Linked DNA regions of Solanum lycopersicum. The main gene of each other region encodes a partner of the protein of the gene in region 5 in a complex. Links are inferred from orthologs where the notes say so. Each region holds a gene or a part of one and is shown on either strand. Other genes may lie near its edges. The genes, in order: probable mediator of RNA polymerase II transcription subunit 26b, mediator of RNA polymerase II transcription subunit 21, mediator of RNA polymerase II transcription subunit 27, mediator of RNA polymerase II transcription subunit 14, mediator of RNA polymerase II transcription subunit 30, mediator of RNA polymerase II transcription subunit 17 and mediator of RNA polymerase II transcription subunit 32.

Region 1 (4,224 bases), on a different chromosome or scaffold from region 5:
AGTTATGATGGAATCTTCATTAAAGATAACATCAATTAAAGAAAAACGGTAAGCGACAAACAGTGGCAAGCGTTAAGAAGTAATAATAGCTCAAAACTACAACCGACAAAGCAAGCTGCCAGAGCCGCCAAAAAGACATGTTAGTTCAACTCAAAGACAAAAGATCAAACCTTTGCGATAAAAACAAATTCAGCACTCGATAAATGAAGCAATCACCATCATTAGTATGCATTGATGATTGAGTTATGATGAAATCTTAATTTTACGGTAAAGATAAACGGTAAGCGACAAACAGTTGCAAGCGTTAAAAAGTAATAATAGCTTCAAAACTACAACCGACAAAGCAAGCTGCCAGAGCCACCAATACGACATGTTAGTTCAACTCGAAGACAAAAGTTCAAACCTTTGCGATAAAACAAATTCAGCCACATTAAAGATACCCCGGATCAGACTACTAGAACTGTGTTGTGCATACATATTTTGACGACATTCTTACAGTTATTTCAGCAATAAAGCAAGAGTTACTTACTCAATCAATGTCCGAGATAGATGCCGAACATCCTTTGAGTTGTGCTTTCTGAGAGAATTAACCGACTTTCCAATCTCTGTGGCCTGATATAGAAGCAATCAATTATGTCCATCCAGAATAAATTTAAAAAACAGTAACCACAATAAATGGAAGATGAAATTTTGGAAGCGTCAAAAGATCAAACCTTTAAAGTCTCCACAGACAAAGCCATTAGTTGAAGCCTTCTTAAGCACTCAAACAACTCTGCAGACTGTCAAAAAGAACAATAACTCAAAACCCGATTACTAGAGGAAAGCTCAAAACTACCAAGCAAGTGAAATAGCAAAAGATATAAAGAGTTTAAAAGTAGCTTCATACATTGTTTTAAAGCTAAAGAAAGCAACATCCTTGTACAACTAGATCAAAGGAACAAAAAGGGGGCAAAAAGGAAATGAAAAGCATAAAGGTTTCCTAACTGTGACATGAAAACAACCTCATATCAGATTTTCCAGTTATAGACACTAGTAGAGAAAATAGAATCACCATCAAATTCAACCACAAAAGTTCTAAAATCTTACAACATTAGCTCAATTATCAAGATTCTTCTTCCTGATCAACCCCACAAGAACAGAAATTTCAAATCATTAAATTCAACCATAAAAGTAACCATTGTTATATGTCATACAACACCAGAAACTCCAAAAATTTAACAACATTTAAGCTCAATTATCAAGATTTTCTTCTTGATCAACCCCAAAAGTACACAAACTTCAAATTCACATACACAGAGTCCACCAATTCTTGACTGAACAAATCCAAACACAGCAAAATACTTCAAATCAACAGTATAACCAAAATTCAATAGAGATGAAATGAACCTCAGCTTGGTTGTTATCAATGACATCTTTGATCCTCATCACCTCCCCAAAAGTCTGAGTCTCTTCCTCCATTTCCTCAGTTAATGCCTCAGCTTCTCCATAACTATAATTGCTAACTTGATTCACATTCATCTCAACATCATGATGATCTATCCTACTGTTAACTTTGCTCTCTTTACTACCACCAAACTCATCCTTACTCTTAATTTTTCCTTCATCATCATTACCAGCAATTGGTACAGCTAAATCAACTTTCTCACAACCAAAACACATAGTAACTTTACATGTAAACAACATTTCAGCAATTCTATCCCTTCTCATTTTAAATTCCTTTGGACAATCAACAGCAGCAACCATCACTGCATACTCAATTATATCAAATATATCCGAATTTGCAGTACGAAAATAGTCCCTCCATTTATCCAAAGTCCCACTACTCTTCGCCATAACTGATGATTCAGAGCAAAAACAAATCAACCCAGATCGTAAAATCAATTATTTATCAATACCCAAATATACAAATTCAATCTTTATCCGATTTTAATTATACCCACAAGAAAATCATACAAATTCTAATCGGAAACAAGGTTTTTAGCAATAAAAACCTCTGGTTTTCCGATTAGGTACTTTTTCCGATGATCGGAAACTGAATAATCAGTGTCACCGGCGATTCAGTTCTGCAAAATGCAATCGGATACAGATTTTTATGCTTTTTTTTTAGGAAAAATCCATATGATAGAAACTCTATAAACCCAAAATGACAAAACAAAATTAAAAAAATTAAATAAAAATCCGATTAAGTTTTTGGTGAGATATAAGAAGAGAAATCTAGAAAAAATTATTCCGATTGAAAGAAATTTTTCCAGAGAAAAAGAATATATGTTAAAAAAAAAGTATAGAAGATTTTCTCTCTCTAGCTATCTTTTATTATTTTAATTATATTTCTCTCTCTGTAAAAAAAAAAGCAATACAAGGTGCTGGTTCAAAGAGACACGAGAGAGAGGAAGAAAAAATATTGTTTTTTCTCTGTTGGGGGTGGGGGGTAGGGGTTAGGGGTAGGTGATAAGGATCAATTTTCTTCGGTCATTAGCATGGATCGTGGTGAGATGGTTCTGATTCCTTCATTTTTAACTCGAGAGATTGTCAGTATATAAAATATATATTTTAAGTATGAATAAGTGTGAAATTTGAACTAATCGAATTCTGATATGTATATAGAATGGAAATTGGATTTTGAAAACTTCTTTTATGGATGAAATTCATAAGGATAACTTTGATGATGACAACGATAACGATGAGAATAACATATTTGATATAGGTTCATAAGTAAAGTTTAAAGAAATGATATGGATATAGATTTTATTCATATCTCTTTGACATAGAAAAACTATTTTTAACTGTGTTCAGTTCAAAGAAGGATGATAAGAAATAAATAAATATAGTGACATAATATAGAAAAACAATAAAAGAAAAATCTGAAAGGAAATGATTTTTATTTTCAAGTTAAGGAAGTGATTTATCTCTTTGCTTTGAAGTAGTTTTCTTTTTTTATATATGTTTTTTTTTATGGAATTACAAAATAATATATCCTCTTCATTTATTTTTATTTATCTATTTTTAATATATTTCGTAATAATAATAATAATTTTGTTGTGAATATATTAATTGATGAATGATGTATAGTCTTGGATATTGAAAAATGAGCAAGGAGTAAGCAATTAATATCGATGGTAAAATAAGAAAAAAATGTTATTTTTTATATATTAAAAGTAAGAAAATAAAAAATAAAAAAATATTTAAAGTATGTTTTAATTGATTTATTTTTATATAAAAAGAAATATAAGTTGTTAAAATAATAAGATGCTTAATTAATACGGATAAATATATATTCACATTGTTTATTTTAATTTTTAAGAAAAAGTCTTATTACGTTTGATTCGTATAAAATGTCATATTTACATTAAATTTTTTTATCATAATACTGTCTGTTTATAAAAAATATCATAATATTATATTAAATTCAAATTTCAATGACAAACTATTGTTATTTGATACTATTATTCATTTGGAGTTTTATTTTTTTACTTCAAATAAAAAAGGTAAATTTTTTATTTATATAAAGTTTAACTTAAATTTTCTCCAATTTATCTTTGCCTTTTTAAAAATAGCAAGTGGACTAAAAAATTAATTCTCCTGTTTTAGTCTTATACCACCCTTTGTTATATTAGATTTTTTCATGTTGTTTCCTTTTTTGTAGTTTATAAATCATAATATGTTATATATAAATTTATATTTCTTTTTATATTTTAATGAACAAGTTATTGTTATGTGAAATTATTATAATTATTTATTTAGGACTTGTTCGTTCTTTGATTAACTTAAAATTAGAAAAAGAGTTTCAATAAAGATGTTATTATCCTTAAAATCCTAATAAACATACAAATTACTTATTTTTGCATTGTATTTTGTAAATAAAAGTACCATATAATTTTTTTTATTTGTTGAAGTTTGTAATTTCTATTGCTAGTGTTGTATAGTAGATTTTCTTTCTATTTCGAAAGAATTTAATTTATAATACTAAATAAATATACGAAGGAATTAAACTTCATTAAAAAAACAGAATTTTTTTGTTTGATCCAAAACAAAACAAAATTTTAATTTTTTATTTATTTTTCCAATGCATTTATCAATAACGAGGTAACGTTTATATGATCTCGGTCCTCATTGTTATGTTGGATTTTCTTATCTTACGTGTTTCATTTTAAAAAATTGCACTATCATAATATTTTTTTTACAAAATTATATTTTGGTGACAAAATAATTGTTACTTGATACCTA
Region 2 (3,999 bases), on a different chromosome or scaffold from region 5:
TGTAGTCTTCAATACGTCTCCTGCGTTAGTTTCTTCATTCATGTATTGATGCCAATTGTCATATGACGTGGTTGAGTCCTTCTACCAGTCATAGTTGGACCCACGTTCTATCTAAATTTTAGCATTCAACAAACCCCGATGGCTGTAAATTCTTCTCTTCGTTGCTGTCACGCTTACATATTAGGCAGACAAGGTTTTCTATATATTTTGTGTGGTTGCTACTTGTTTTCGGCCACGCCTCAGTTCCAGCACGACAAGAAAATATTCTGGCGATATGCAATCTAAACTCCCAAAGTACCCAGACACAGCCCAAAATGTGTCTACGAATTAAAATCATCAACTCGGTAGGGTAGTTGTGCATGCCAGCTGCCATGTTTTGGGATCACATGTTTACGAAGTCAGTCTGATAATTGCATAACTTTTGACAAGTGCTGGAGCAGAGAAACTAGCCAACTTCTAAATTGAACACGTGGCACAGAAGACACTAATATTTAAGGATGTGGAGACAAAAAAACTGCTGATTTTTGCTATTTAGGCACATTATCCCTACCTCTTTTCATTCTATAAACACAGCTCTAAACCAGATACAATAGTATACTGAATTCTTTTCTTCAGCAGTGGCCAAGAACTTAAAAAAAAAATAATGTCAGAGCATGCCTAATTATAATTAGTTAATAAATGTACCCATAACAGACATGGACACAATCAATTTGTTGTTCCTCCAGGGTATATTCCAGCAAGAATGGGCTCCTCAAGCAAACTGAAATATCTACTACCTTATTCATTCTGGCTTCTTCAAGTTCAGGCAGTTATCTGTTGCTTGGTTAAACAACTCCTGGACCTGCTTTAGCTCCTTCTCTAAATCACCAAAATCAGCAAACTGAGTCTCAGAATAAACAAAAAATTAATAATACAGACAGGAAAACGGAAATTTGGACCTTAGCCTAATCAGAACAGCTTCCACTATCTTTCAGAAAGAAAGCAAGGGAAAAACAAACTCTTACCTGCAGCTTCCAGTTGTTTTTGAAGTTCTTGGCCAACTGCATCGTTCTCAGCCTACATCACATACATACACAACCGAGTAAGACTACTAAGCCCAAAATAGACAGACTAATCTTTATTTATCCTTCTTTATTTTTTTAGTTTAAATACTGTTAAGCTATAACACATCAGAATTAGAGGATGTCAAAAAGTGAATTCCACCAATTATTCACAAAGAAGCATATACCTGGAGTTCTGCAATTCTTTTCAATTGGGCTTCTTCACTCCCATCCGATAAAGGAAGAGCAGCAACCAACACATCGAACTGCTCAAAGAAGGATAAGAAAAAGAGAAGATAGATTTAATACAATGACATTGTAGCAAAGCATACACTTTAGGATCACAATGAAAATTTGCAATTGGTCTGAATTAGAGCCACACAATCCTCAAGGCTACTCTCAAGTGTCGGCTGTGCTGCTTAAGTTTGATAGGATGCTAGATTAGACAACCTCTGATTGTGAGGCCAAGAAGAAAACAAGGGAAACATAACTGTAAACTTGAACACCTTAGAACTAATCACAGGGTTGTCCATATACATTTCATAGAAGACAGCTAAAGGGCGATAAACTAGAACTCAGTTTTCCGGTTTTGACACCAGGTTTACCCGGTGAGTCTTGGCCTAGATGTCATGGTTACCAAACCTGAGAGGCTGACATCAAGTTCTCTAGTAAAAATCCCTAGAGGCATGCAATCCTGTCCAGCTAGTAGTTGGAATTTGTCCGCCATTATGTGATTCAGTCAAGTTTTATTGAAGTAGTTGGTGATGCTAATAGCATTATTGTATTTCTCGTTAAACTAAGGACAAAAGACTAGGTATTTGAACTCAACCACACTGGTCTCAGGAATCAGGACTAAGGTCTTTGAACTCAACCACGCAGGTCTCAAGTCTGAACAAACAAAGACTTAATATCATCTGGTATAGAACTGCATGTACGCATTAGATATGATGAGCCAAGATACAACTTAGTGTTATCTTGTATAGAACTGCACAAACACATCATATATCTAAAGATTTGACGTTTCCAAAAGTAAACATACTAGTCAAAAGAAGACAAAAGAAACATTATTTTGTCCAAAAATGATTTTTTGAAGGAATGGTAAGTGCATTTGTAATACAGCACCAAGAAGGTGCAATCAACAACATTTACAGGGAACACAAAGATATACCTTCCTATTCTTAAAGGGATTCTACAAGTTCAATCACTTATTCAGGCTCATTTACAAAAAAAATGTCTACACAAAAAAGGAAACTAAACTAAATAGTTTATCTTGATCTTCCGAAAAAAGAGAAAATTCCCTATTCTCGAAGTACACGCAGATTACTTTTATACCCTGGTCTGTGGCTTGTTCATATTCGTTGATGAATAAGCAGAAAAAGTGAAGGTATGGAGTATGGAGTTTCACCTGCTTGGCAGCCTTAACAAAAGCAGCACTCATTTGCTTTGGTTGTTCTGCAACATTAGCTGAGTCTTCTGTGGGATTAGCAGGTGGAGGTTCTGGATAATTAGGTGATAGACGCACAGGAGGGGCGTCCCTCTGAAGAGTACCAAAGGTGTTGAAAGCAAGAGCTGCAATTGTATTTACTTGTTCCTGTAACTGTGATATGATATCCATCTTCCAAATCCTTCCCTTTATTGCTAACAAAAATGGTGAATTTTGAGAAAAGATCGAACAAAGGAATAGAAAACAGAGGAGAAGAACTTACCTGAAAACCCTAGAATTGGAGGTCCGGGTAGAGCCGAAGTAGATTCGATAATCTGTTACAATTGTTTTAAAATTAGACCTAAAATTAACCATTATTTCAATTAAATTTTACGAAAAATGCTCAAAAATATTTCTGAATTATCCGAATTAGCTCACATATATCTTTAAATTAAATTCTAGCCCTTCTATTAAAGTATTGAGTTATTTTTACCCTTAATTTTAACAAAGGTGTGTTAAGTGTCACCTGAACGCCACGTGGACACCATATGGATGCCACATGAGCACCAAAAAACATCATCTCCATGTAGACTCATAAATCTTAATTATTAATTTTTTTCTCATTTTCATTCATTTTACTTCTCTAAAACATAATACGATTTCCCTTTTTTTTTCTTAGACGATTTTCTCTCTTATACGATTTTCCCCAGGATTTTACAAATTTCTCTTATGAACGCCATTGAATTTCTGAGTAAATTTCGTCACTTTCTGAGTTTCACCGTTCTTATAGATAATGCACAAACACCAGTCCTAATTTGTAAAGTAACATGCACAAACACCAGTCATAACTCTTCACATTTACTTGTTTTTATTTTAAACCTTTCAACATAAAGTCTGACTTTATCATTATCAAGTGAGCGCTTAAATGACATAAAATGCAACAAAAATAATTTAGCTTTACTATTTTTTTTAATTGTTTTTTTTTTGTTGTTGTAATTTAGGCTTTGAAAAGATGCACGTGGTCAGCATACGACATCTTAGATCAGACACCACAAAAAATTAAAAAAGAAACAAATAAAATTTATGTTTGCCTTCTCATCCTGCTTCTTTCTATCTTCTAAGCATCAACTATGGCTTCTCTTCTCACCAACGGAATCTCACACTTCTGTCCTCAATCCATCGCTGAGCAGCCTAAACTCCCAAAAGGGTATAACTTTTTGCCTAATTCACCCGGCCCCAAAATCTCAAATCCAGGTAATTTCAAGATTAAAGCTGCTGATGCGAAGGCCACTGTTGAAGTTCCAGGTAAAGAATCATCTTTATCAATCTCAAATGAAGGCGACCCACTTCAGAAATTCTTGAAAAGAGACTATAAATGGGGTTTTAATGAAAATATTGAATCTTTTGCGCTGCCAAAAGGGCTTTCGGAGGATACTATTAGGTTAATTTCATCAAGAAAGAATGAGCCTGAATGGATGCTTGAGTATAGATTGAAATCGTATGAGAAATTTGTTAAAATGAAAGAGCCGAAATGGT
Region 3 (3,957 bases), on a different chromosome or scaffold from region 5:
TCTTCAAAAGTTGGAAAACTGCTGTGCAAAAATAAAGCCAAGGTGTCTTCGACTATGTAGATTGGAAAGATTTCAACTTTGTAAGTCAGTTCTTGTATGTTTAATAATAAACAGGGAAACTATCAGTTGACCAAATAAAAACATGGTAATTGTTTCAAAAAAAATTAAAATCCTAAAATGGAAGCCAAAAGCCCAAAACCAAAAAACCAGTACACATCTGGAGAACTATAGTATTCATGTCAAAATAATTGTGAAACAATAAAAACAAGAAAGTGGATCGTGGACAACCAAAGAGGAAAATGCATTAGAAGAGATAGAAACCTAAGTTTCTGGGAGGACGAAACAACTACAAAGAAAAGTAGAAAGAGAGAAGTATTCACAGAAGACTAGAAAGAATCACAATAGAAAACATACTCAGTATCATTTCCAACATAACAAAGAAATGCACAAGCCTTTCTAATGGACAGACTTTCAGCACAATTACTCTATAAAAGAATAACTCAAATTCCTGCTATAGAAACAGCTCTTCCCATCTAATACAACTGTGGTTCTATCTTTTAGTCTATCAAAACTTCATACTTTCCAACAATACAGCTCCCAATCAGCAAATTCCTCATTCTCTTTCCAACAAGTGAATGCTAATTGTTAGCTATATAGAACGCAAGGGATGAGATAATGTGTAATGGTTTTTCAGGTTGAGGCCAAAAGCATAAATGATCAGAGCTTAAAACTTCCGAATAAAAAGTAAGGGACTAGGAATCATCAAAATATGTAGAAACAAACTAATAGTTTATTTGTTGCAAGTCTCCTTGGTGTCCGACGCTCAAACAAACTAAAGACATTTCGTCAACCAGATGAAGGAACTGGCAAAAGAAAAGACAGCTAGCAATTAAGGGACTATGAATCATCAAAATATGTAGAATACCATGGAGAAACAAACTAATAGTTTATTCGTTGCAAGTCTTCTTGGAGTCCGACACCTAAACAAACTAAAGACATTTCGTCAACCAGATGAAGGAACTCTTGAGGTAGATGGCAAAAGAAAAGGCAGCTAGGTTAAAATATCATAGATTAGTAGGTTCTGTAAAGTTAACCGTATAAAAATGTAGGGTTATCGTAGCCCACATTCTCATGAGAAGGAGAAAGTAGGGGACTTAGAATACCCACAACATATAGGATACCAAGGAGAAACAAACTAATATGTTGCTGTTTCCATGTCTTCTTCGTGTCCGGCGTTTAAAGAAAATAAAAGCCAATGAAACTTCCCTGAACCACATGAAGGCTGTATCTCTTAAAGAGGCAAAAGAGAGGCAAGAAGTTCACTATATCATAGATAAGTACCTTCCACACAGATAGCTGAATAGAGATGTAGGGTTATCGTAGCCTACATTCTCATGAGAATGAGAAAGTAGGGGACTTTGAATTTCCACAACTTGTAGGACACCAAGTAGAAACAAACTAATAGGTTGTTGTCTGCATGTCTTCTTGGTGTCCAACGCTTAAAGAAAATAAAAGGCAATCAAATTTCTCAGAGCCGCATGAAGGACATAACGAGCAAAATAGAGGCAACAAGTTTAGTTTATCATAGATTAGTAGCTTCTGTAAAGATAACTGAATAGAGATGTCCGGTTATCGTAGCCTACATTCTCATGAAAGGAAAAAGTAGGGGACTTTGAATCGCCACAACTTGTAGGATACCAAGGAGAAACAAACTAATAGGTTGCTGTTTGCATGACTTCTTGGTGTCCAACATTTAAAGAAAATAAAATACATCAAACTTTCTGATCCAAGTAGAAACCAAAAATGGTTATACAATTGTATAGAGGTGTTTGCTCCAATGCACTTTGAGATCAGACCAATTGATGTCTATCCCTAGAGTATGCAGCCTGAAGAGGTTGATTCCCATGCAATGCATTATTTTTTGGGGGTAAACTGAGCTGTTCAAAGTAGGAAGAGGCCACCAGTTATCAGATTATCGAACAATTAGCAGTTCAAGTTAAAAAATGTGTATGGCCACGTAACCTGCTTACTCATTCTAAGCAACAAGAAGGGGACAATGAATTTCCTCAGACACTTGTTATGTCAGCAGGAGTAAACAAATGAGTTATTAAATGCTTAAACAATTCTTCACCAAGGCTCAAGAACTTTCAAGGCTTTTTTAGCCTTCTTGTGACTTGTCAAATAACCAAAAAAAATAAAGCCTAATGGAGCTAATTTTGACTTGATAGTTCTAATGTGATTCTAAGATAACACTCCCTAAACTAAAAGTCATCCTATATCACTGTGTATTGCCACCATTGAAAAGTGAAAGTTTTGCCAAAGATCTATTAACTGCGGGTGCATATCAACTTCTGCATAGAAACAATCTAACAAAATATTCATATCAGGTCTCATGACAATACAGGTCACTTTGCTAGATGAACAGAAATCAGTATATTTTTATGGAACTCATAAATCGTCGCACTAAAATTCAGAAAATTAAAACTTACCAGTTGAAACTTGGAAGAAAAGACTGAGATGCTGATAGATTGCAAAGCCGTCAATAGAAATCGTGAAAGTCAGGCAATGTCGCTGGTCGTAGACTCGCAGTGAGGCACAGTTTCTGGTAAATTACAACACAATACCATCGAAGAGTTTCTAAAATCTTTGAGCGGTACAAGAAATTGTGCCAATCACGGCGTAGTGTATGAAGAGATGCCGCACCGAACTAGGGTTCTTCGTCTTTTAGGGATGCTGCGATTTAGGTCTGAATGGAGAAGAGGGGCGCGTGGGGGTCTGAAGAAATAGTGTGGGGCGGGTCAGTCATGGTTTTGGGCCGGATTTGGTTTTGAATGTTGGGCCCAAGTGAGAGACTCATGTCCTTGGAGTCTTTTTTTAGCAAAAATAAAAAGGGAAATTTAGCTAACTAGTCAAAAAAATCAACTTATTTAGTGATAATATCCATATTTTAATAATATTAGTCAATTTTTACAATTAATAGTTGTATTCATTCAAAAATTATATTGCATTGTTTCTGAATTTGACTTTTTTTTTTGTAATTTGTATTTATTCTAAAGGTATGTCAACTGTTATGTATTTTATTTAAGAATGAGTACACCAAATATTTAATTATTTCTTTTCAATTTTTTATTTCATTCACTTTTTCATCATACTAATTTTTTTGTGTTTTATATATTATTATACAAAATTCTAAATAAAAACTATAATAAATAGAAATACAAATAAAATATATATTAAAATAAATACATACAAGATTTTTGAAGAAAAAAAATAGGCCAAATACATACGCAGGTCCCTAAAGTTGTTCGCGCTTTTCCCCCAGGTACCTCAACTAACCAAGATTCCTATAAATCCTTTAACCCCCTATAATTTGATCCTTTTAAATATTTTTGGCTGATGTGGAGTCAAATTTCAATAAATTATTTTTGGTAATTAGGCGCGTGAGATGAACCTTCCCCACGTGGAAATTTTGACCAATACACTCCAACCCAATTACACGTCAGTGCCACATATTATGTCATCAAACCTAAAAATCAATTCCCCCCCAAATCACTTTTAACCCGTTTCTAAACGAGAAAACCCTAAGAATCTCTCCTTTTCAATGACTTTTACAACTGAAATTCTTAGATTTTAAAGTGATTTCGAGTGTTTTGTTGAAGGAATCATCGAAGATTGCAGACGATTTTGGAGTTCATTCGCGATTTTCGAGTTGACGAGTGTGAGGTAAGTGACGAGCATGTTGTTGTGGTTGTGTGTTTTTAATATATGTGTTTATCCTGTGGTTTTTATTGATATATACTGGGTTTTAGTATCAATGTGGTTGTTGTTGTTAATATCTAGATAAAGTTAGGGTTTTTTGGTTTTTATTGTTCATAACTGTCAGAAAAATTTGGAGCCTTGTTTCAGGGAATCTTATGGACGCCATTATTATAACTCGTTTTCATCATGGTGGTAAGT
Region 4 (3,701 bases), on a different chromosome or scaffold from region 5:
AGTCGAAAAGGCCATTGAGGTTAGTCAAGAAGAGAAGCAAGACACAAAAGTTCCAAGCACCAAGGAAAGTTCATAAATGCAGTTTGCCTCTAGCTATAGCTTCTAGGCTTTTACTATTTTCTACAACACGATTGTTTCTTGTATTTGACTAGTTGTGTTGAGCTATTGTGTTTAATTTTACATTCCTGGCTTTTCCCTCATTGACAGGTTAAGATCAAAACTTAGGTAAGTTAACCATTCCTTAGCTCCAATTCTTCATTAATTCGATATGATTGCATATTCTGCTACATTTTTGTTTTAGCATGCAACGAATTTTTATATATAATTTTTAGCAACATACATATATGGGTCTAAAATACACCATCAATCATGCCCCCTCACTTTTACATGTATTGCTTGGCTGATCCAGCAAAGTAATTTTCTCATTTATCCATCTCTAACAATGAATTGATCTTTTCTACAATTAAAACAACTATGCCACATCTCTAAACTAATAGTAATTATCTGTATAAATTGTGTATCCATTCAATTTCATATGGGGAGAATTAGAGAAACACATCCAACTGTCTTACAGTGTTGCTACTTACAGAAATTTAGGGAGAAATAATTTAAGCCTTCACTTCCAACAATTTACAACACTAAGCGATCCTTCTAATTGCAGTCGAGCTTGACCATCCAGAACAGATCTCTGTGTATCATTCGAAGCAAGACGCGAATAGATCTATTTTTACCTGTACAAAGGAGCCTGCATATACCCATTAAAAAGGAAGTCTAGTTTACATCCCAGCTGGTTAGCCACATCCAAATCTACACTGGCTGGTTCTTCCGGTTAATCTTGCAAGGCAATTTTTCGGATTAGTCAGCACTACATTTGTGTATTGTTTAGATCTACTTCATTGAAATCTCTCTATTTCACGATCCAATGCCTGCAGCAACTCCACCACCATCCCTCAGCCCCTGAAGGTACGCATGCAGTGTTCTTTGAACACTGTCTGCGACAACCCTTAACCTTCCCTGATTGGCATCACCAGCGGAATTTCCATTCACTTCAACAGTTCGAGCTACTCTTTGTTTGCATCTTTCCCAATCATCAACTCTCAGCCAGCAAGCCCGTCCACCATGGCTCCCCTCCATTCCCAGAAACAAAACATTTGGGTTCTCACCAAATGCATATCTCAACCTAACAGACACACAGTAGGGCAACCAAGCAGCACCGCCAGCCGCGTTAATATGAGGTATATGTGCATGATCAAGAACAACCGTAAGTGCAAAATCGACAGAATTGTGAGCCCGATCATAGTGAATATTGCTTTTGGACGCAGATGTATTTTCTGAGCTACCATCAATACTATATCCAGCATGATTCTCAAGACACAATTCAATACGGGATTTTTGTGTAGGGACCATATCACCTCCTTGCACTTGAGACAACCCTTTCTTCCATGCAATGAGTTTAAGGAATTCTCTCAAAACAGAAATAGGTAACGTCAAAAGTGTAATGAATGATGCCACACGAGAAGCATCATATGGCTCTGACGCAACACGGCGGCTGAAGTAATCACATATTTCTCCTATTTCTGACTGAGTTAATTCCTCTTGCGCACTTCCGGGATTTTGCTGCTGCTGCTGTTGCGACTGATGAAACCTCTTGACACTAATAACTTGCAAGAGAAGTTGAACCCTATGAACGCTAACAGCAAATACATAGCCCCTGCAGCAACAAAATTATCAGGAAATAGGAACTCAAGATCACAAAATATTATACATGCTTTTAAAAAACCAAATAAAACTAGTTAACACCCCAGTAATCAGTGGAATATATTGAAACAGCAGGCAACTTTTCTAGACATAAAAGATTAAAAGGTCACCATAAAAAACATCAGACAAGGATATCCCCAAAATGGGATATATTATTCAGATTATACACTTAAAAAGTACCGACCTTTCTAGCCAATTGAAACAGAGTACTAACAAGTCAGAAAATTTAAGACATTAAGCAGAACATGTTGAACATCAAACCAGTAGACTAAAAGTAACTATGTGAAACTAAAATGGACAAAACTCAGGTGAGATTTTTTTTTTAACTAGACTGAGCTTTAATGAAATTAGACAGGCCCGGGAAAATGGTTCTAAACGGAAAAGCCTTGAGCACAAAAACCAAAAAGAAACATGATATCCATGTTGTTCCCAGACTCTTCTTTTACAATAGACTTGCCTGACTCCAAAAATATAACATAAAAAATAGTATGAAGTCACAGAGAAAATATCTGCAAAAGATTCGGATATTTATCAGGGGTTATAGCAGTACTTCTTTGAGCTAATCGTAAGAAAATATGCTGAATGAGTACACTACATGACTACTTTACTGTATAGCCTCGACACTCATAACATAACTAAAGTTCGACCTACTCCAAGCACAACGAATGATTAAGAAAGACAATCAAAGCTAAGTATCAATGTTTGAATGACAATGAACACATGCAATACAATTCAAGCAGAAATGAGAAATCAAAATCCAAGCTGAAGGCAGGAAAACAAGGAGAACCGGAAAAATGATAAACATGACTTCAGAAGGGTTCAAATCATGCATAGCCAGTCAAAATTCATGTAAGACGTGTCCAACGTAAAGGAAAATGTGAGAACTAAGAATTTGGAGATTCTCTTCAAATGCCAGGTTTACACACATCCAATTTAAAGGACATGTGAGAATTGAGATTCAGGAGGTCCCTTCCCATTCCCAAGTTCTCTCCATCACAATTCAGTCAGCATAAGAATAGACGGGGACTAGATAGAATACAGAATGATTGGAACCTTACCCCACAAAGAAGCGTAAGGCTGGCTGCTCCTGATCCAAATTCAACAATGCACCCTCATTATCTTTCAGAATAGATCCCAAAATCTCCTTCAGAAGGTCCGGTAACTGAGCGAAGAGCCATAGCACCCCAAGGTATTTTAGAATGCCTCTGAGAACCTTCTTGAGAGCAACAAGAGGAACCCATCCACCACCATACCCTCCATCATCACCAAGTCCAATAATTGCAGTATTTAGTTCTCCTCTGACATGAGCAGGTACACCAGTACCAGGCGCTCTGCGCAAAGGCATCCCTGCATTTACCCCAGCTAAATTTGATGCTGCTGGAAGACCATTTGCAGTACGATTGAAACCAGTTACAGCATTTGCTGGACGAGCTAACCCAGTAGAATTAGAGAGATTAGTCCTGTTCGTATTTGCAGCTGGAAGCTGTGAACCAGCATTTAAACTATTTGAGTTAGGCACGCCAACTGCTTGTTGAGAACCAGTAAAGTTAGAGTCAATTCCATTCAGTTCCTGGGCAACATGTTCCATGATGAAAGGTCGAAATTGTGGACATGGCAGAGATCCTCCAACTTCTGGCCCCCCTTTAGGTGGTGTTGCTGGTTGCAACCAAACCTGATCTCCAGCAAAACACCTCATGTCAACAGCAAATTTTTTCCGATAAATAATGCGAATCCAGTACGGACCACGAAGTACAACAGAGACATCTATTGGCAGCAGTGAACTCGGAACAATGCCAGGACCACCTCTTCCAGCAGCGGCAGCTGCAGCTGCCAACATTGCAGCACTAGGATGGCTGTGTGCGCCAAGTGTACCCACAGAAGCTGAAACAGGATTAACTCCAGCTCCGGGTGCAGGCTGATTTATGCTAGAGTTTACATTGCTT
Region 5 (4,073 bases):
CCGCGAGCAGCATATAGCAGGTGTCCGGCGATGACCAATTTTTTGAATCTAGCAGTAACTTCTGTACAAAAGAAGTGAAAAAAAAATAAAACAGTTTCTTAAGATTGAATACGTTGCTCTTTTGACATCTCTAACACCTCACCGATTTAATTGTATGGTTGAAGTTATAGCAGCAGAGTCATGTAGAACAGGGACTCTGCCATGTACATAGGTCAGCAAGAAGATCTCGAAGCTGGTCAATCAGAAGTTTGAGATGCTTGTTCTTGTCTACAAGCTCCTGCAATTTGTAAGAACAATAGAATATGCTTTAAATCTTGATCACAATAGCAACTTGATTTTTCACTACCGTAAGATAATAGAAAACTATTAGGCATGCACTCAAGTACGATAAAACTCTACCTTCACTTGAGGACTTCTTATTGCCACTAGGGGGAGACATAAAGCAAATGAAACAGGATTTGACTAATTTTAACGCAATAGGAATAAAATTAATAATAATACAGTATGTACAACAAGCAGAGGATGTTGAAACCAAGTTTTCATATGTTATCACAAAATCATATTGTTCTGATTTGAGGTTGTGACAAATATCGAGACTTGAGAAAGTTTGTACAGTAAGACATTTTGTCATGTGTCCGGAATGAAAATGTAACATGTAGTATACCTCAATATTGTTTTAATGGATAAGAAATTACTCAATGGATCAAGGAAGACATCAGTCAAGGTTCAAATATTGGCACACACATTTGCTTCACCAAACCCACCCATCATGCATCCCAAAAACCAACAAAAATCCAAGGAAATTCTAATATGTCAAAATTTGATATGTTATCAATACCTTCTTTAATGAAGAGGCCCGGTCTTCCAGCTGCTCAATTTCCGCTTGATCTGCTGCAGATAGTGAACCACTAGCAGAAGCAGCTTCCAATGCTTTTGCCTAGCTAACAAAGCCAGTAATGAGTGTGAAGTATCATACAATAAGTTAACAACTTTCCAAAATGTACAAGAAAATATAACTTGTTAATCATGAGAATTGAGACAACAGAAAGGAGAGTTTGACAACTTCCAGTTAAAACGGAGCAAATACTTGCACAACTCTTAAGAAAGAAGTTACTAAAAGAACTCATTTAATGTGTAGTCGGACATATGTTGAGCAACAAAAATGCACTCAACATCAGTGATTTATTTGTTCATACTGACAAACAAAATTCTTACTGCTTAACCAGATTCTCTCCAATGCACAAATGTTAAGGCAATCCATACACCAACACCAAGGACTTGAGATGTGATTATAGTGCTAATTCTTTCTTGAAAAGGATAACACGCAGTAGTTTATCTTGGTATAAACACTTATACCTCATGTGCGTTTAAACAGCAGAAACAAGAACAACCTCGAAAACATAGTTAAATATCTTCCCCCATCCCCAGCCCCCAACAGCCACCCACAAACCCAGAAGAATATAAGACAAATCAGAAAAAGAGTAAGCAGCACAGTTGAGCTTCATCAACTGATGACGAGGGATGATCAAACGACTGAATATTATATTCATAGTGAAGAAATATTATCCCCATGTCTAGAACATCAAAATATACAATTGCCATGTGCAAATGTTGCTCATATTGGTAAGGGCAAATTGTGCTAGTATATAACCACATGATGTCTTTCCCATATCAATCACCAAAACTGTTTAACCCCTTGTTTTGTGATTAAGATCAATCACCAAACACTTTTCACACTGAATTTACCTTTATCGCTAGATAATGTCTTTTTTTTTCTGCTCAAACTGGATAATGTTTTTCTCTCCTACAGTACTCCGAAGGAACTACATTTCTAGAATATCTATTTGAGTTTCATTCCCAATCAAAACTACCATCTAACAGAACACCAACACCACCTATGGCTCAACACAAGCTGGTTGGTGGTGGAAGTATACGAATCCTCCATATCCATATGGAACCACTTCACTCCAGTATCAAATAGTTTTAACCTTTGGAACCTCTAAAACTAGAGGTTATCTACGTTGGATCCAAATCTTTGCGGTCACGTTGAACTACCTTTGGCATTGAACAAAGCCCCAGTCTTTTACACATTTTCTGTTTAATGGACTTCACTAGAAGTGATTCATTCATATAGCTGAACCGAACTAGTTTATGATCAAGCCATTGTTGATTCATGATTACATCAAACTAACTTTTCCTGAGATCACTATCTTAAATTACAGATATCACACAATTACAAAAATGTTTTAAAAAATTGCATTTTTATACGTAAAATTACCTTTTGGGAATTAGAAATTGCAGTAAGAACAGAACGCAAGGAAGCAATAGAGGACTTATAACGCAGACGAGATTCATCAAGAGCACCACCACCAATATCCAAATGCTGAGCTGAAGCAGAAGAAGACGAAGAAGTATCAGACGAAATGTCGCCGTTTGTATGGTGCTGCTGTCCATTACTCAAAACACCACTAGCACCAACTCCTCCACCGGCCACCGCCACCGCAGAAGAAGCAGCAGCTGTATTTAGAGTGGACCAAAGTGATGGATTACAGAGTTCATCGTTCATGGCGGAGAGAATTTGATGTGCTGCTTCTATTGTATCTTCTAAATGCTTTTGCCCTTCTACTGCTAGTTCTTGTATGGTTTTAGGGCTTGTAATTGTGCCTTTATCCTCCATACCGGGTAATGTCACCGGCTTGTCAAAACCCTAGATCGACGGCGGCGGTAGTGGTGGCGATCGGCGGTGCGAGAAGTTGTAAGGAGAATTAATTTAAGCATAAAATGACGTCGTTTTATGCGTGGCGTGTACTTTTTGGGCCGGGTAAGGAGCTATGTATTACTGGATCAAGCCCAAAATCAAGTTACTTGGGTCAAAATTCAAGGAAAAATTATATAAATTAATACATTTTAATAAATAATTACTGATTTTAGCGATACTTTTTATTTATTGTCATTTATAGCAATATTATGTAAAATCTGCAATATGAATTAAAAGTGAATTATGTATGCAATGTACGTGAATTATAAGTTGTTTTTTGAAATATATTAAGTTTGTTTACTAAATTTGACACATTCTATTATAAATGTATTAAAATGTGTGAAAAACGTATTATCCATCGTTAAAATTTGTATTATATGTAATATTAAATTGTTATTTATAATATGTATAAAACTTGTATTATAAATAAATTAAAACTGATTAAGTAATTTTTTTTTATTATTGCTATAAATGGTAAATATTTTTTTAATTATAGTACGTGTATATAAGTTCCCCGAAATTCAATGGGGGAAAGAAGTGCACAAATATCTGTGTTTAACGTTGCAGAAAAATTACCAGATTACATAAACATTCCTATCATATTTACTACGTAGTTTTTTTTTCATAATTTTGAAAAGTTACGCATCGTCTTCTAATTAGTAATTTCATACTAGATGTCAAGTCATATAGACCTAGATGCATGTAATATACTACTATATACACTTTAAAATATAAACTTATAGAAAAAAAGACGAGTGAAAAAGACGTAAAGTGAATGAGAGAGAGTCTATGTATCGCAAATAGATGCAAACTAAAAAAAGTGTGATTCCAATTAAAATTAAAAAGCGAAAGAAGAAATGTTTAAAAACTTCCATTTGAGATTTTGAAAGAAACAAATCAAAGATTCCTTTTTTTTTATTCAACGTGCCATTAATACCTAATTAAAAAAAGACAACACCATTCGAATCGATAATTAGTCTTATTGTGCATTTTAATAATAGAAATTAAAATATTATATATATATAATATTCTTTCTATTTCATTTTATAAGACACTTTTCAGATTTTAAAATTCAAATAAATTTATTTTATAAAAAGGAAAAAATGACAAATATATTCTCGAACTACCGTAAATGATATGCAGATACCTTCAGTCATTATTTTGGGACATTGATGTCTCTGTCGTTCATAAATTAGAGCATATATGCCCTTCACTCTAACGAAGGGACAGGGGTACCAATGTCTCCAAAGTATGACGGTAGGAGCACCAATGTCCCAAAAGTACGACGACAGGGGCACCAATGTCCCAAAAGTAT
Region 6 (4,039 bases), on a different chromosome or scaffold from region 5:
CGAATGAGTTTCTCTCACATGCTCATCATCACTTTTTTCTCTCTTAGTTTCTCCAGAAGAATCCTCAAAAGACACCTTTGGTCTCAGTCTGCTATGTTTTATAACACCAGCAGGTGTACTTGCACCGAGAAACTCAAATTGAAGAGTCCGGCAGGAATTTGGCGGTAAATTCACAGCCAGCATCCCAGCTGGGTCATGCTCAATACGCACCACAGATGCAGAAGATGGGCGAAATGCAACCGCTGGATCATATAATGAAGTGTCAAATAAATCAATGTAAAACCCTTCATTTCCAGAAGCAGCAGCAACCATCCGATGCCATTTAACCTTCCAATTTTGCTGCAATCTATCAGCTCATCAGGAAATAGCCAAAATTTTGAGGAAAGGCACAAAGACATGGTAGTCTAAATGACTGCACACATATCTTTCACAATGTACTAATACTGTTCGTAGCCACAAAGAACAAACCTGATAAGAGCACCATAAAATCTTGCTTCTCTAGCCACTTGTTGTTCCAAAGCTTTGGCAGATTGCTTAAAATATTTCCCCAAATGCTGCAAAAGAAAAGCCAAATTACGAAACACATACAGCTTTGCTAATGAAGTGCATAACTATACTTTGTCAACAAACCATTAGACTTAAAGATAATCAGTGGATTATTTGTTTAACTCAAACTTATACATCAACCATAACATCTTGCAGAAGGGATAAAGTAAAATACACGGAAGCATTGCAGCTTGGTTGCCATAGACACGGCAAGGTCTGACAGATGCTCGTTGGGCAATTGCTTTGGCCTGGTCATGCCAGCCACTGTCACTGCATCGTTTGCCTCCACCTGTATGCAGAACAGCAGAGTCAACAATGCAATACATAATCCACAGTTCCTGCTAATTTATTCATCTTATGCCTAAGAAAGGTGCTGTCTTAAATGCCAGGGAGAAGGGGCAAAAAGGGATTGAAGGAGCAAATGGACTGACGAATCTCATGCCACTTAAATAACTAATGCCGAAAGCTTAAGTCAAATTTTTTAATCCTTAGTTGTCTCTATCATACTGATAATGAGGAGTAAATGATATGCTAGGGACATTATCATATGCCTTTTCTAGGTCAATGAACACCATGTACAAGTCCCTCTCCTTCTCCCTATACTGCTCAAACAATCTCCTTTCATGGCTTCAAGCTGAATTGGTTCTGACACACCCCTCTTCATCCTCATCTCGACCACCCTTTCCCAGACTTCCATAGTGTGGCTTAGTAGCTTGATACTCGTGTAGCTATTGCAATTTAGAAAAGCCACGTTGATTCAATTCAAAAATCCAATATGTGGTGTATCCAACTTTACACCTTCCAAAAGGCCTTTCTTTATCACGCACACATGAAATTCCCTACTGGAACAACTTAGAGGTAGTTAATAATTCCTCTGTTGTAAATAAGATGTCTTGATCTTCTTTCTCTAACCACTTTTCAAGTACATTCACGATCATACATGTGTGTATTTTACAGTTCTCTATTGTATTTTCTGAATTAGATTCATACCTTACTAATATTGATAACTAAATAAAAATGTTCCAACCCACTCTCGTGATAAACCTCAACATTGGAATAAAACCAGTGTGCTCTATTCTCATAGATGAAATTTTATTAACATTTATCCATGATGCAAACACTACTCTGTATCATTCAGTCTAAAACTGCATGCCACAAAAACTCAATTGGCCAATAATGAGTACAGCATAAGACAAATGTATTCCACTTTCAAGCACATTATCAGGCTAAAACACAAAGTTTTCCTCTTATGGTAAGTGCATGGAACACAACCAGCTAGGCACAAGACATACTAAACATGTACCAACAAATAATCAATCAATCAACCGACACCTCAATCGCACACTAGTTGGCATTGACTAAACCTCCGTATTAAGGCGGAGCTAGAGTGTGGGAAGCAGGTTCAGCAGAACCTAGTAGTTTTAGCCCACTTTGTAGGTATCATATGCAATCCATTTACTAAGTACAAATTACTAATTTAGAAATCATCAACTCAAAAAGAATAAAATCCCAAACCTATAACCTGCTCACCATTCTTTTTTCTCTATTCAACTTCATTATTCTCAAAATCTCACAATTATCACACATTAGTCTTTGACCAGACACCACACAAACACCAGACCAGATGTAAATATCAGAACAATTAAAACTTAATTTGAACTATTTTCTATCAAAACTATATAGACATTAAGTTCAATCATTAAAATTATAAGCCAAAATTCTAATGTTAACACTTACAGTGTGAATGAGATCGATAATGACTTGAAGCTCTTGATGAGCCAATCGCAAATTCTCCACCAAACTCTGCCATTGCCATGGCTGACTGCTACTTGTCTCCTTTGAAGAAGTAGCACTACTGCTTTTCTTCTGCTTCTTACTTGGCTCTTCTCTTTCCACTGCCCACGCAAAATCAATTCTCCTAATCAAATTCACCGTTTTCTCATCGTATCCTATATCACTGCAACAATTACGAAAAATCTAAATGTAAATATCCAGCTCACAAACTGATTATGCATGAAATTCTACATTTTTATATAGAGAGAGAAAGAAAGTGTACGAAGGGAAGCGTTCAGCGCCTTGTTCTTCAATATACTCTAAACGCTTGATCGGAAGCTTGTCGACGGAAATCTCCAGATTGCCGTTCATTTTTCAGGGAGATTTTCCGGGAAGAAGTGTCGGAGAAATCCCGAATTGTGCCCTAAATCGGGGAAAATACCCGTCGAAAATAATTGGGGTTTGGTTCGCTTAATGTATGGGCCTATTAAGATCTGGGCTTAAATCATGGGCCTATTACGAACCACACTATGGCCCTTTCATGTTTGGTTTGGTGGGTCAAAAAAGGGAAACTTACGTAAATGTACTCGCTTGATCACTTTTAATTCATTTATAATACAAGTTTAATACATATTACACAGAACAATTTATTATTCACATGTAATACAAGTTTTAATGATAGATAATACACTTATAACACATTTTAATACACTTATAGTACAATGCGACAATTTTTTACCAAACAAACATAATATATTTCAAAAACAATTAGAATTCATATATATTGCATACATAATTCACTTTTAATACATATTACAGACTTATTACAGTATTGCTATAAATGGTAATAAACAAAAAATATAGCTAAAATCAGTAATTATATTTTAAAATGTATTAATTCATGTAATTTTTTCGTCAAAAAATGAGTTATTTGCGCTTTTATCGTATTTGTACTTGATTTCAATTTTTGTCTCTTATGATAAATCAATAACTTTTTTGGTGGGACGTAAGTTTAGATTTTTTTTAATCATAATATCTCATAAGTTATAGCACGTGTGCCCTTAAAGAACTTATGTACCGCTAGGTATAAGTTTGATTATTAAAGATCAACCTATTTAAAAGAAAAATCGTGCAATTATCAATTATTAAAGGTAAAATTTGAAGATCAACCTATCTGAAAAGAAAATCATGCAATTAAATATTCAAAAAGGTTCGATAGTTAGCAAATCGTCTTGTAGTTTCGATAGTAACTAGGTCTACAGAAAAGTTATGCGTCTTATATTCATGCATAACTTTCATACTGAAAATAACACAGTTAAAAATATTATTACATATATTAACTCAAATAAATATGATTGGTGAATAAATTTTACTTATATACATTACAATAAACATCTTAGTTTCATTATTTTCTTGGCGGCTAAGGATTATTTTTACAGTAACAGATCGGTCTAATCACGAGTTCATAGATTCAATAAAACTTAATGATTTGATTTTGAACATTGTAGTAGCATATGCAATTCTTTGACAATAGATTTATTTCAATTCTGTTTTTGACGATGCATTAATATACATGTAAAATTTAACTAAGAAAATCAATTAATTTCATATTTATATAATTTCATAATACAAAAGAACAATAAATTTTTTATTTAAAAAAATCTAAAAGTTTGAAGCAATTAAATTTAAATCATTGATATGTTTAATTAATTTCAACTAT
Region 7 (3,842 bases), about 62 Mb from region 5:
AATTGAAAAATAATAAAGTATAATTTACCTAAATATAGAGTAAATTAGTTCGGGTATTATAAAATAAATTAAATTCATAATATATAGCTCGGATACATTAAGTACGTTAGGAGAAAAGTAGGAGATTTTAAAGATTTTTAGAAATAGTAAGTATACTGAAAATAAGAAGAATATAAAAAGTATATTTCAGTAATTTTTCTAATAATAAATGTGAAATAAAAGTTGGTCTTATGTGATATTGTATGCGTATGAAAAATGTTAGGTCAAATCCATCGATGGCCCCTAAACTTGGCACCAATTTTCACTTAGATACCTCAATCAGGCGATGTTCATTTTAAACACCCCATGTAAGGTTCAACTGTGTCATTTTGATACTTTTCTGACAATAAATAAAAAACTAAAGGAGAGTGTAAATGTGTAATACACTCGTTGATGACGTGGCAAACAATCAATTAAATAATTACATGTATTATTTTCAGTTAAAAATAATTATAAAATCTATTTAGTAAAAAAATTTAAAATATTATTCTACGAAAATTTCTTATTTCATTACACTCAAATCTCTTTTGTGCTTTACAAAAAAATATTATTTTCTTTTACTATTTTTCATATTTATTCTTCTTTTTAGTATTGTTTTTCTTTAAAAAAAGAAAGGAGGGAGAGAATAAACATGAAATATGGGTGTTGGTATCCATTTTTCCGGCAAAAAATAGAGTGAGGTGAAGATAGACTTAGATAAGTAATACAATGATGAAGAAGAAAATGACTTAACAACGAATTTGAATAAAAAATTTGACCTCCATTGAAGGAATTTAAATTCGAAAAAAAAGGGGGTGGTGGCTTGGAGAAGAAGAAGATAAAATAAAATTAAAAATGGCTAAATTAAGTCTTTCACGCGCTATTGTTAAGTGTATCACACTCACTTTGACATGTCAGCAAAAAGTGCCAAAATGACACAACAGAACCCTACACGAGGTGTCTAAAATGAACATCGCCTAATTTAGGTGTTCTAAGTGAAAATCGATAGCAAGTTTAGGAGGTCACCGATGAATTTGACAAGTTTGAGCAATTAAACAAAATATTTAATTTAAACATTAATGTAAAATTAATTTTATTCATCACATATAATATAATTACTCATCAATAATATATAACACTAACAAATGAAAAAAAATATATGTCTCATTTTAATGTACATAGAACACTTAATATATAATACTAATGATGAAAATACAAATAAAATAAAAATTAAGATACATAAATAATACTACTCCTTTAGTCCAATAAAATAGCACTCGTATATATATAAATAATTATTAGAAACTCAAACAATTATTACTCAATTATGATTTTATTCAAATATATTTTAAAAATCTTACACTCTAAAATATTAATTTTGAAACTAAAGGGAAGCTTTGTGTTACAAATGAAAACTATTGGGGAGGAATATGTAATTATTTCGAAACAGAGTGAGGGGAGAAGAGAAAAAAACCAAAAAAAGACAGAGGAGAAGATTGTGGAAGCCATTTTCTTCCTTCAGTCAAGTAAGTAGAAAAACCCTAGTCTTTGTGGTTTTTCTTCTTTTCATTTGCTTAAATTTATTTGAGTATTTTCAAGAAATTTGTGTATTGCATCAATTTTGTTTCAGTTGATTTCTTGCTTTTGAGTGTTTTGGGTAATCATAGAAAATTGTTTCTTGGGTTTGTTTTTGTATGCAGAATTTGATAGCATAATAGCTCTTTAATTGTTGTACAAAGATTCAATTTTTAATGATGAAATTACTACAAAGATTCAATTTTTAGTGATGGTCTTGCTAAAGATTCAATTTTAATGATGTTGTTGCTATAAAGATTCAATTTTTAATGATGGTCTTGATACAAAGATTAAATTTTTAATGATGTTCTTGCTAATTTATTCTCTCCTTTATAGATTTACGGAGGTTAGTGATCAATTAGGGCTTCGAGGGGTTGTGATGGATAATCTCGTAGATGCACTGAGCAGTGCATATCAAGACTTTGTTGCAGCATCAGCTGTTGTACTTGAATCAAAGGAGAGTTCTAATGGTCAGAAAACAGCAGCAACTGATGCTGCATTAGAAAACTTTAAGCAAAAGTGGGAGTTGTTCAGGGTTGCGTGTGATCAGGCGGAGGAGTTTGTGGAATCGGTTAAGCAAAGAATTGGCTCCGAGTGTCTTGTGGATGAGGCTACAGGCACTGTTTCAGGGAAGCCTGGGCAACCAGCTGCAAGTGGCCTTCAACCCATTAGTGCTGTTAGGTTGGAGCAGATGAGTAAAGCTGTAAGATGGCTAGTGATAGAACTGCAACATGGTTCTGGAGCGAATAGTGCTTCAGCAGTACATCCCAATCCTTCTGCTCCATTTGATGCCAGATTTTCTGAAGATGCAGCTCAATAGGTATACTGAAATCTCGCTGATACTTCCTGTCCTTGTCGTTTCCGTTGACTATGTTAAATAATCTGGAAACAAATTTGTATTATTTAATGAACTATTAGTGATAGGCTTTGTATCCTAGACTTGATGATGAAGCAAATAAGTGAACATTCCCTTGGAACTGAAACTGATTCATATATAAGAGCTGCTATTACAAAACCGCTGGTCTTGTATAAATTTCCAGGTTGATAGAAAAGTAGTAGAAGCTAACAAAACTGCTTTTTAGTGGCATCATATGTTCTCTTCCATCAGAACGAATAACTGTGAGTAACCACTAGTTTCTGCAGCAATTATGTTATATGTACTATCCTTACTTTATTTATGAAGAATACTATCCTTACTTATTAAGCTAAGTTTGACCCAACTTCTTTTTTTATGATCAATTATGTACTATCCTTACTTATTAAGCTGAGTTTGACCCAACACTTCTGACAGACAAATGGAAACTAGAAAAAAAAAATTGGTTTCGTTTTATTCTGTTTTCATCGCTGTAAAACAAAGAACTATTAGTTGTGACTGTTTTCAGGTAACTACAGAGTCTGGTGATCAGCAGAGAGAAACAGAAGATCTTATGTGCCTTAGTAAGCCGCTAAAGTTGATGTTTGATGTATGAAGTCATGTTGTAACGATGTAGAAGAAATACTTTGGAATGATATTTGTAAACCACCTTTACCGCCTCCCTCCCTCGCCATCTTATGAGAAGATCTGGCAAATTTACATTTGTGTTTTCTAGGCACAGAGATTTACTTTTATCGCAGTATGAGCTACTGCACTGTTAGCTTTATTTAGATCTTAAGCATACCAACATATACAAACAGGCTGTATGTTTGTGTCTGCTATGTGTACCTTATATTCTCGAGTATTTATGTTTATAATCGATTTTTGTTAGGAAATATATCTCCAATCTTGTAAAGTGGCTTTTTAGTTAATTGTGTTAACCCTGATGAACTCATTCAGTAGGCTTTGGAGACCTCTGGAATTGTTGCAACAGAGTATTATGACGCTTTGAGTGTAGCAGTATTAGTAAATACGCTTTAGCTTACAACTACATCTTGATTGCTACACAAATGCTCAGTATCCATGTCGCTCCATTTAACCTTATCTCAGTCTAATATTTAGTTGTACTGTATAATAACTTTGAAAACAGAAGTTCTCACTTGTCACTGCACTTGGAAACGTCTTTGTCCAATAACGCAAACTAATACTAGTAAATGAGAGATCTATGATGTAAAAGTTCTGATGGTTATTGAGAATCGTCTGAAGGGATGACAAGCAGAGGCTACTCTATAAAGCTATATATATCAGAAAAAACAACGCTCTTTTCATTAATTTTATGCAGACCCAAGAAGAAATGGGTTTTGAGGCAACATACAATGCTTAAGAGCATCTTTTG

What was found.
Region 1: mediator of RNA polymerase II transcription subunit 30 (region 5) and probable mediator of RNA polymerase II transcription subunit 26b share a complex: the UniProt entries of both Arabidopsis thaliana proteins name them as parts of the mediator complex. The link is inferred for Solanum lycopersicum from reciprocal best matches to the Arabidopsis thaliana genes AT5G63480 and AT5G05140.
Region 2: mediator of RNA polymerase II transcription subunit 30 (region 5) and mediator of RNA polymerase II transcription subunit 21 share a complex: the UniProt entries of both Arabidopsis thaliana proteins name them as parts of the mediator complex. The link is inferred for Solanum lycopersicum from reciprocal best matches to the Arabidopsis thaliana genes AT5G63480 and MED21.
Region 3: mediator of RNA polymerase II transcription subunit 30 (region 5) and mediator of RNA polymerase II transcription subunit 27 share a complex: the UniProt entries of both Arabidopsis thaliana proteins name them as parts of the mediator complex. The link is inferred for Solanum lycopersicum from reciprocal best matches to the Arabidopsis thaliana genes AT5G63480 and AT3G09180.
Region 4: mediator of RNA polymerase II transcription subunit 30 (region 5) and mediator of RNA polymerase II transcription subunit 14 share a complex: the UniProt entries of both Arabidopsis thaliana proteins name them as parts of the mediator complex. The link is inferred for Solanum lycopersicum from reciprocal best matches to the Arabidopsis thaliana genes AT5G63480 and SWP.
Region 6: mediator of RNA polymerase II transcription subunit 30 (region 5) and mediator of RNA polymerase II transcription subunit 17 share a complex: the UniProt entries of both Arabidopsis thaliana proteins name them as parts of the mediator complex. The link is inferred for Solanum lycopersicum from reciprocal best matches to the Arabidopsis thaliana genes AT5G63480 and AT5G20170.
Region 7: mediator of RNA polymerase II transcription subunit 30 (region 5) and mediator of RNA polymerase II transcription subunit 32 share a complex: the UniProt entries of both Arabidopsis thaliana proteins name them as parts of the mediator complex. The link is inferred for Solanum lycopersicum from reciprocal best matches to the Arabidopsis thaliana genes AT5G63480 and MED32.

Annotation. Positions count from the first base shown.
Region 1 is NC_090809.1:61,266,115-61,270,338, forward strand, and holds the start of probable mediator of RNA polymerase II transcription subunit 26b, read right to left. Parts: upstream 2,801-4,224; 5' UTR 1,834-2,800; coding exon 1,387-1,833; intron 780-1,386; coding exon 714-779; intron 613-713; coding exon 530-612; intron 1-529. UniProt on the Arabidopsis thaliana protein: Component of the Mediator complex, a coactivator involved in the regulated transcription of nearly all RNA polymerase II-dependent genes.
Region 2 is NC_090801.1:60,839,865-60,843,863, forward strand, and holds mediator of RNA polymerase II transcription subunit 21, read right to left. Parts: upstream 2,656-3,999; coding exon 2,446-2,655; intron 1,307-2,445; coding exon 1,229-1,306; intron 1,057-1,228; coding exon 1,005-1,056; intron 881-1,004; coding exon of another isoform or gene 873-880; exon of another isoform or gene 859-872; coding exon 782-858; 3' UTR 501-781; downstream 1-500. Other genes in the region: iron-sulfur cluster assembly SufBD family protein ABCI8, chloroplastic, read left to right, coding at 3,594-3,999. UniProt on the Arabidopsis thaliana protein: Component of the Mediator complex, a coactivator involved in the regulated transcription of nearly all RNA polymerase II-dependent genes.
Region 3 is NC_090800.1:77,929,041-77,932,997, reverse strand, and holds the start of mediator of RNA polymerase II transcription subunit 27, read right to left. Parts: upstream 2,801-3,957; 5' UTR 2,490-2,800; intron 1-2,489. UniProt on the Arabidopsis thaliana protein: Component of the Mediator complex, a coactivator involved in the regulated transcription of nearly all RNA polymerase II-dependent genes.
Region 4 is NC_090800.1:84,067,137-84,070,837, forward strand, and holds the end of mediator of RNA polymerase II transcription subunit 14, read right to left. Parts: coding exon 2,817-3,701; intron 1,712-2,816; coding exon 913-1,711; 3' UTR 501-912; downstream 1-500. Other genes in the region: sec-independent protein translocase protein TATA, chloroplastic, read left to right, coding at 1-76. UniProt on the Arabidopsis thaliana protein: Component of the Mediator complex, a coactivator involved in the regulated transcription of nearly all RNA polymerase II-dependent genes.
Region 5 is NC_090807.1:2,029,146-2,033,218, forward strand, and holds the start of mediator of RNA polymerase II transcription subunit 30, read right to left. Parts: upstream 2,801-4,073; 5' UTR 2,678-2,800; coding exon 2,279-2,677; intron 938-2,278; coding exon 839-937; intron 278-838; coding exon 179-277; 3' UTR 143-178; intron 62-142; 3' UTR 1-61. UniProt on the Arabidopsis thaliana protein: Component of the Mediator complex, a coactivator involved in the regulated transcription of nearly all RNA polymerase II-dependent genes.
Region 6 is NC_090811.1:1,513,851-1,517,889, reverse strand, and holds the start of mediator of RNA polymerase II transcription subunit 17, read right to left. Parts: upstream 2,801-4,039; 5' UTR 2,692-2,800; coding exon 2,603-2,691; intron 2,504-2,602; coding exon 2,284-2,503; intron 836-2,283; coding exon 722-835; intron 555-721; coding exon 469-554; intron 347-468; coding exon 1-346. UniProt on the Arabidopsis thaliana protein: Component of the Mediator complex, a coactivator involved in the regulated transcription of nearly all RNA polymerase II-dependent genes.
Region 7 is NC_090807.1:64,223,280-64,227,121, reverse strand, and holds mediator of RNA polymerase II transcription subunit 32, read left to right. Parts: upstream 1-1,398; 5' UTR 1,399-1,544; intron 1,545-1,546; exon of another isoform or gene 1,547-1,675; intron 1,676-1,929; 5' UTR 1,930-1,972; coding exon 1,973-2,413; intron 2,414-2,959; exon of another isoform or gene 2,960-2,975; 3' UTR 2,976-3,342; downstream 3,343-3,842. UniProt on the Arabidopsis thaliana protein: Component of the Mediator complex, a coactivator involved in the regulated transcription of nearly all RNA polymerase II-dependent genes.